Macaca mulatta: one gene and its partner. The protein of the gene in region 1 interacts with the protein of each later gene in a pairwise test. Links are inferred from orthologs where the notes say so. Each region holds a gene or a part of one and is shown in the gene's direction. Other genes may lie near its edges.

Region 1 (4,338 bases):
TCCTTGCTTTTCGTTCCCATTCCACCGTTCTTCCGGCCGCCGCTGCCTGGTTTCCGGCCCCTTTGGGAAGGTACAGTCCATCTGCCCGGAGGTCTCCCTACTCCTTGGCCACCCCCAAGCCCTGTGGCCTTGGCCTTCCCCACTGTATGCCAGGCCCTGGCCCCACCTGCGGGCGCCCTTGTCCCCATCCATGTGGTTGTCCTCCCCGTCCCCCTGCATGTCGGGAACAGATGCCACCAAGTCCTTCAAGAAGTCAAACTGCTGCTCCAGCTCGATGCACTGCTTCCTGGAAGAGGTGAGGAGGGGCTGGCACTCAAGACGGGCCCAGACACCCAAACCCTCAGTGGGTGGCAGCAAGGGGCTCCGGATGTCAGACTGGAGCTCGGGCTGATCTCCGCCCCCGGGCCTGCACTCCTTTACTTAAGTGGCTCCCTCTGCCTGGACGCCCAGCCCCTCCTCTGCCAGTCTGTGGCCTTGCTGGTGTCCCGGCCGCCGCCCACCTCCCTCGCCATCCAAGCTCTGCCTCCCTCAGTGTGTGAACTCCCCGCGCCAGCCCCGCCGGCCCCTCCCTGCTCCTCGCCGCTCACAGGTGGGATGTGGTCATGGTCTTGGCGTTCCGGGACTGGGTCACCTGGCAGGCCTTCTTCAACAGCGACTCTAGGAAGAGCTCAAGCGCCCGGGCTGAGGGGCGTCAAGGAGAACGCCAGGGCGGGGGAGGGCGACCCGCTGCCTCCCTCCCCGACGCCCCTCGACCCGGCCCGCCCCCGGCAGGATACAGATGATGACAGGCACCGCCGCCGCCACCTTCCCAATCTCTTCGTCCGTCTGCATGATCTTCTTGATCCGCGCCTTCGGGTGGGGGAGCAGAGTTCAGACCCCGTCGCCTCCGTCCCCTAAAGGGGTGCCGGGGGAGGAAGGGGCATCCCCGGAGAAAGGGGGCGGAGGACGCGGACGCGGGGAGGGCACGGAGGAGGCGGGGCGTCCAGGCCCCCGAACACCGCGGCGCGCCTGCCTTTCCAGAGGGAACTGGGCCCAAGCCTCCCGGGAGCCGGGCCCACTCCCTGCCGGGCTCTGCCATGTGCTCACCGGCGGGAACCGCGCGTTGTACTTCTTCTTCTTGCTCGGCATCTCGGGGCCTCTCTCGCCGCGTCGGGTCCAGCGCCGCCGCCCGCAGCCTCCCGGCTCCCGGGCCTGCTCGCTGCCCGCCCGCCTCGGTTCCCCCGGGTCCTGGTGCCGCCCGCTCCGCCCCCGCCGCTTCCCGTGGAGTCCTAGCGCCGCCGGTTAAGACGCCGCTCACAGGGCCCTAGTGCCCTCCTCTTGGAGCCTCCCGGGCCGTGCGCATCCCTCCCCGGTCTGTACCGCTGCTCCCGCCCGCCCCCAAGACCAGAAGAGCGAACGTTGGCCCCGCCCCCCACGGCCCGCCCCTCCCGGGGTTCCCGCGATGGCCCCGCCCCCCGAGTCAGCACCTCCCCGTCGGCCCCGCCCCTTCCCCTGCCGGCCCCGCCCCACAGCGCGGCCGCTGCGGCCGCTGAGGCTGGCGGCTCCGCCCCGTGGCTGCGCTTGTCTATAAAGTTGTTGTTGAGGTGGCACGGCGCTAAGATGGCGGCGGCGGCGGCGGCGGCCGTGGCGGGGGTGGGGCGCGGCGGCGGTGGCACGGAGCCCCGGCAGGAGCGGAACCGGGCCCGGGGCTGGGCCGGCGTCGAACGCAGCGAAGGCCGGAGGTGACTGCGGGCGGCGGGAGGGGCAGGGCAGGGCCGGGGCGGGAGCACCGCTCGGGCCGTGGGCGTTAATGGCGGCGGGCGCGGCACGGCCGGAGCCTGGCGCTCCTGCAGGCTCTAGCAAGCCCAGGTTCGACTCCGGGCACCGCCCCATTGGCTTCGGAACGGCCTGTGCCCTTTCTGGACCTCAGTGTCCTCGTCTTTAAGTGGGCCCGATAACGCCTTCTCGGGAGGCCTGGCCCTACAGAGCCGGCCTTGGGAGCTGCGCGAACGTGCGCTTCTTTGCCTTCCTCTATTAAATGCCAGCGCTCCGGATACCTGCCAGGAAAAGGGGGCCTTGTCAGGGCCGGGAGGTGTAGCTGGGGCCGGTTGCTCCCACGCCTGGATTCACCCTTTGGCCCTGCCACGCACTACAGGTGACCTTGGGCAAGTCCTTTCTCTCTGAGCCTCAGTTTCCTTGTCTGTAAGTCAAGGAGAATAGTAATAACTGCAGCAACCCTTCTGGAGCGCTCACTCCTCAGGCATCTAATTTTCACAGCGGATCTACAGGACAGGAACAGTTGTTATCCCATTGTAAAGATGAGGCAACTGAGGCGCATCGACAATAACTCTTACCCAAGGCCACAGTTTAATCCAGTGCCTGGCACCTGTAGTTATTGTCTCAGACCCTGCCCTGACTCGGTTCCCTCACAGCAGGATGGAACCAGGTGAGGAGCTGGAAGAGGAGGACTCTCCAGGTGGCCGTGAGGATGGCTTCACTGCTGAGCACCTGGCTGCAGAGGCTATGGCAGCTGACATGGACCCCTGGCTAGTGTTTGATGCCCACACGACACCTGCCACTGAGCTGGATGCCTGGCTGGCCAAGTACCCACCATCCCAAGTTACCCGCTATGGGGACCCCGGTTCACCCAACTCAGAGCCTGTGGGCTGGATTGCAGTGTATGGGCAGGGCTACAGCCCCAACTCCGGGGATGTGCAGGGCCTGCAGGCAGCCTGGGAAGCTCTGCAGACCAGTGGGCGGCCCATCACACCGGGCACCCTGCGCCAGCTCGCCATCACCCACCACGTGCTCTCAGGCAAGTGGCTTATGCATCTGGCACCAGGCTTTAAGCTGGACCATGCCTGGGCTGGCATTGCCCGGGCTGTGGTTGAAGGCCGGCTTCAGGTGGCCAAGGTGAGCCCACGGGCCAAGGAGGGTGGGCGCCAGGTCATCTGTGTTTACACGGACGACTTCACGGACCGCTTGGGTGTACTGGAGGCAGATTCAGCCATCCGTGCAGCAGGTATTAAGTGCCTGCTCACCTACAAGCCTGATGTCTACACCTACCTGGGCATCTACCGGGCCAACCGCTGGCACCTCTGCCCCACTCTCTATGAGAGTCGTTTCCAGCTTGGGGGCAGTGCCCGTGGCTCCCGAGTGCTTGACCGTGCCAACAACGTGGAACTGACCTAGAGGGGCCAAACTGGGGAGACTGCCCTCTCCCCACTCCATGCTGGGGATGGATCCTCCTGTCTTCCTCCTTGTCCCATGAAGGACAAGCCCCCCAACTCTGGGGACTACTAGGTCACTTGGGAACTACCTGCATCTTCAGTCCCCTTGAACTTCTGCCCTCTGTTCAGGGCTGATGCAAGCCCCACAGGCTGGGGGAATCCGGTTGTCTGAGGGATGAGCCTTCAGCCTCCCTTTGTAATGCTGCTCCTCTCCACTGCCCAGGACCGTGGGTTGGGTGCAGACACCTAAGAGGAGAGACTTCCTTGGGACGCTCATCCCCTGCTATACCTCCCCTTCCTCCTGCATCTCCCCTTCTTTCCTTCCCCCTCACAAGGGAGAAAACTTAGTACTTCCAGCCCCTCTCCTTGGAGCCTTCATGGTCTAGGGGTAGGAGCCCCACTGGCCTGAGCATGCCATTTTGGGGGGAGGGTGGTTGTGCCTACTTGTCCTTTGGCAGAGGGGATGCCAGGACCATGGACATGAGGCCTGCGCATCCCTGCCAGCTCACACAGCCTGTCCCACCATCCCCCCTTCCTTGGCTACTTTGACATGTGCCTGCTCCTGGCATTTCAATAAAACCCGGCTTGGGTCTGTGTCTTGAGTGGTTTTAAAATACTGTCTTGGTGGTTACCTGCTTTGGTTGCTAGGGAGAGGCAAGGCCAGGAGAGACTACCCCGTTGACCCGGCCAGGCCCCCATAGCTGCCCCTAGCAATAAGTTGTGCCTCACTGCTGAGGCTAGGCCCTGTCTCTAAGAACCTCTGCAAAACCAGCCCCACTTCCCCTCCATCCCAAATCAGTTTCTCAGAGATTTCCCATAATTCCAGGGGTTGATCCCTCCAGGAACGTCTAAGGGGCCACTGCTAGCCCTCAAGGTACATTTGTGCATATTAGAGGAAGGTACCAAGCCCAGGCAGTCCTAGGCCAGGGTACGTGGTTTGGGGAGCAGAGGATGGGATGGGCTGGATTTCGGCACCCTAGGCTGGACATCCTTGTGCAGTGAAAAACCTGCGCAACCCTAGGTAGTCTCTCTGGAAGCCCCGCCATTCATACTGTCCTCTTCTACCATCCTGACCTTCATAGGGCCCACTGGACAGTTTGCAAAGCGCTTTCATATGTATTAAATTTAA
Region 2 (3,810 bases), on another chromosome or scaffold:
GGGTTCCTTTCATTCTCTACTTTCTTGTTTTTTCTCCCTGCTATCTTCAAGAATTCCCAGAGTTCAGTGCAACTGTTCCTCTAGCAGTCACCATCAGAAAGACCAACTTTGTGTGATCTGTATGCATAAAATAAATACACGATAGAAATAGGAGAGAACTCTGTAGATGATTAGGATAGCAGAGTTACATGATGGTGGAGTAGATGAGAAGGCTTGAGTATTCCAGCCAAAGATGATGGCTTGGTTTACAAAGAAAATAAAGTCCTTGCATCATCTAAGAGTCAGCGAACATAAAGTGGTGAATAGCAGGTCATTTGGGAGAAGGAAATGAACCTTGATAACCTATTCCTTTACCACATGGGATTCTTAGAATTTCTGTTTTACATAAAACCACTATTCCCCCACCTCTAAATATGAATTTTTAAACAAATGCCATGACAGCACACCCCTGAAAAGGCCATGGGAGTATAGACTACTACTTTAACTCACGATATGATATCAAATTGCCTTTCCACCTCTTCCTAACATGCTGCTTTTACTTCCTTTTGCATCCCCACTTCCCAGTCCACTCATTCTTCAGCACTGGCTGTGGGATATAGTCCAAAGCAAGGGTTTTGTTTAGGCATCTCTAAGCCTGGGACTAGACAGATTACATTTTCCCACTTGGTAAGCACTAGCTCTTTTATTCAGTAACACAACTGTAACTTATACTAAGACTTTTAAAGTTGGGCAGACATAGATCTGGACACTGTTCTAGCATTATAATCTTGGACAAATAACTTAAATCTTTATTAGCTCAGTTTCTTCATCTTTAAAATGGTAATACCTTCAGCCTTAGAAGGTTCTATAAAGTATGAATCAGTATGTGCATCATAAGTGGTAATTATTGATATTGCATGAGGTCAGACCAGCTTCCTCTGATCACTCTTCCTCATGACTTGATCTCTTCGGATTATCTCCTCAAAGTTTTTTGGTTGCTGTATTTAAAATAAAAAGTCAGCTGGGGCCGAGAGTAGGGGCTCACACCTGTAATCCCAGCACTTTGGGAAGCCAAGGCAGGCGGATCACCTGAAGGTCAGGAGTTCGAGACCAGCCTGTCCAACATGGTGAAACCCCGTCTCCACCAAAAATACAAAAATTAGCCAGGTATGGTGGTGGGTGCCTATAATCCCAGCTACTTCGGAGGCTGAGGCAGAAGAATCCCTTGAACCTGGGAGGCAGAAGTTGCAGTGAGCTGAATCATGCCACTGAACTCTAGCCTGGGCAACAGAGCATGACTCTGTCTCAAAAAAAAAAAAAAGGCCAAGTGTGGTGGCTCATACCTGTAAACCCACCACTTTGGGATGCCAAGGCAGGCAGATCACTTGAGCCCAGGAATTTGAGACCAGCCTGGGCAACATGGCAAAAACCTGTCTCTACAAAAAATACAAAAATTAGTCATGGTGCGTGCCTGTAGTCCCAGTGACTCAGGAGCTGAGAGGTGGGAGGCTCACCTGAGCCCAGGAAATCAAGGCTGCAGTGAGCCATGATCGCCACTGCACTCCAGTCTGGGCGGCAGAGCGAGTACATTTGCCTGGATGCTGAATTGTTAGGCAGCTGAATTCTTTGGCATAGTTTATATCTGTAGCCTGCACTGGGCTCCAGGCAACTTTATACTGTAGGGCAGGGCTCAGCATACATGGTGGCCTTTTTTTGTGATCACAGCCACAACCATCTGTTTACATACTGTTTTTCGTTGCTTTCTCACTACAACAACAGAGTTGGTTAGACAGGATGACTTGCAAACCTAAAACATATACTATCTGGCCCTTTAGGAAAATGGTTTTTGATCTCTGATCTGGAAAAAGGAACCTATGAGGGAACCAGAATTGGAACAAAAAAAGGAGATGGGGTGTCAGGTTTATCTAAATTGTTTTTGCCTATGCCTGCCTAGTTGTTTACTGGCCGATTGAGTATGGGACAAAAATATTTTTGGCTGGTTGGCTCATATTGTGAACTTGAGAAGAAGATAGTCCTGTGAATATTATTAGCAACCCATAGTGCTTAAAATTTAGGTAATGGGATTGTAAATGACAGTTTTTTGTTCTTTTGTGTTTTTTTTTTTTTTTTAAATTTATAAATGCAGTTTAAAATTGTTCATCAGCTAATAAAGTATTGATGAGCTGTGACATTCTCATTTGGTTCCATGGTAGTATTTAACATTTGGAATTTCATTTAAGCTTTAAGGTGAAACTTCTGAGTACTAAAAATAGATATATATATATTTTAGGTAACATAACACATTTTTAGCAACTATATAAACTTTCTAGGATCATCAGCAGAGGACTGTTGTGAAATACTAGCCTTTAAACTTTGTACCTGTTTTACAGGCGATATGAAAGGGGAGGTCTATCCATTTGGCATCGTTGGGATGGCCAACAAAGGGGATTGCCTGCAGAAAGGGGAGAGCGTCAAGTTCCAATTGTGTGTCCTGGGCCAAAATGCACAAACTATGGCTTACAACATCACACCCCTGCGTAGGGCCACAGTGGAATGTGTGAAAGATCAGGTAAGTGCCAGCATCTCTGTATCTGAATTTGATCCTTCTATGAGTTGGTAACCAGAACCTTCAAATTTTTTCAGCCAAGGGGAAATCATCAACATTCATTCGTTTTTGTATTTCTACTTTACCTTTTTTCAGTCATTTGAGGTAGCTTAATAAAAACAGAAAACTACACAAAAAAGTGACTATATTAGCAATGAGAAAGTAAGATTGGTATTGGTAACTAACATTACGCAATGGGGAAAATAAGTTTGGGGTGAGATTTCCAGAATAGAAGGACTGTATGGTTTTGTACACTTTTGCTTAGAACTTCTTTTGCATATCACACAGACACAGAAACCGTGTTCGAAAGTACTTAAAAAATAAGCTTAGGGCAAACAGACTTAGTCTTACTACTGAGATCTCAGGGAAATCTGAGTCCTCATAATGTTTTTCGTCATCAGTACAGAGAATAACATTTTGTATGGCTGCTTCATATACTGCTATAACCCAGCTTAATTCTAGAGGGGATCCAAACAATATGTATGTTGAAGTAACAACTTCCTGATGAGTTTGCTTAAATCAAAAAGCTTAGTTCATAATGTATGAAGGAACAAGGCAACTTTTATTTGTTTGGTTCAAGTTTGTGATATAGTGAATGGCACTTTCAAAGATACATTTCTTCCCTGACAGGTTTTGCCACAGGCAGCTGGACTGGAGTATCAACATTAATATCATGTTTTATACATCCTTTTATATAGGGGCAGGCATTGTGCTTCACTCAGAGTGAGGTGTGGCATGTCCTCTCTTTTTTACCTACTTTTTTTTTTTTTTTCCCCCAGTTTGGCTTCATTAACTATGAAGTAGGAGATAGCAAGAAGCTCTTTTTCCACGTGAAAGAAGTTCAGGATGGCATTGAGCTACAGGCAGGAGATGAGGTGGAGTTCTCAGTGATTCTTAATCAGCGCACTGGCAAGTGCAGCGCCTGTAATGTTTGGCGAGTCTGGTGAGTTGTTGTTGTGGTTTGATTAGTAACTACCCTGGAGTGTCTCAACTTCTGTAGTCTCTGTTTTATCACATTTCTTTACTTTTCTGTGCCTTGTTTTTTCCCCTTTTGCCACTTTTTATTTACTTCCTCCTTCTAGTCTAATACAAAAAGATTGTGTAGTACATGTTTTTTAAAATTTTTGCCAAATTCCTTTCCTTCCATTAAGTCATTTCTAGGTTATATGCTACTTAAAATTCTAATACTTTAGTCATCCTGATTCATAATGCCTCTTTGCTTCTCT

What was found.
Region 2: the proteins of C14H11orf68 (region 1) and CSDE1 interact in a two-hybrid assay, tested with the Homo sapiens proteins (2 studies listed by BioGRID and IntAct). The link is inferred for Macaca mulatta from reciprocal best matches to the Homo sapiens genes C11orf68 and CSDE1.

Annotation. Positions count from the first base shown.
Region 1 is NC_133419.1:8,501,865-8,506,202, forward strand, and holds C14H11orf68 (UPF0696 protein C11orf68 homolog), read left to right. Parts: upstream 1-1,574; 5' UTR 1,575-1,599; coding exon 1,600-1,721; intron 1,722-2,411; coding exon 2,412-3,171; 3' UTR 3,172-3,823; downstream 3,824-4,338. Other genes in the region: DRAP1 (dr1-associated corepressor), read right to left, coding at 1-60, 167-286, 588-681, 777-849, 1,087-1,128.
Region 2 is NC_133406.1:125,531,573-125,535,382, forward strand, and holds part of CSDE1 (cold shock domain-containing protein E1), read left to right. Parts: intron 1-2,369; coding exon 2,370-2,548; intron 2,549-3,363; coding exon 3,364-3,527; intron 3,528-3,810. UniProt on the Homo sapiens protein: RNA-binding protein involved in translationally coupled mRNA turnover.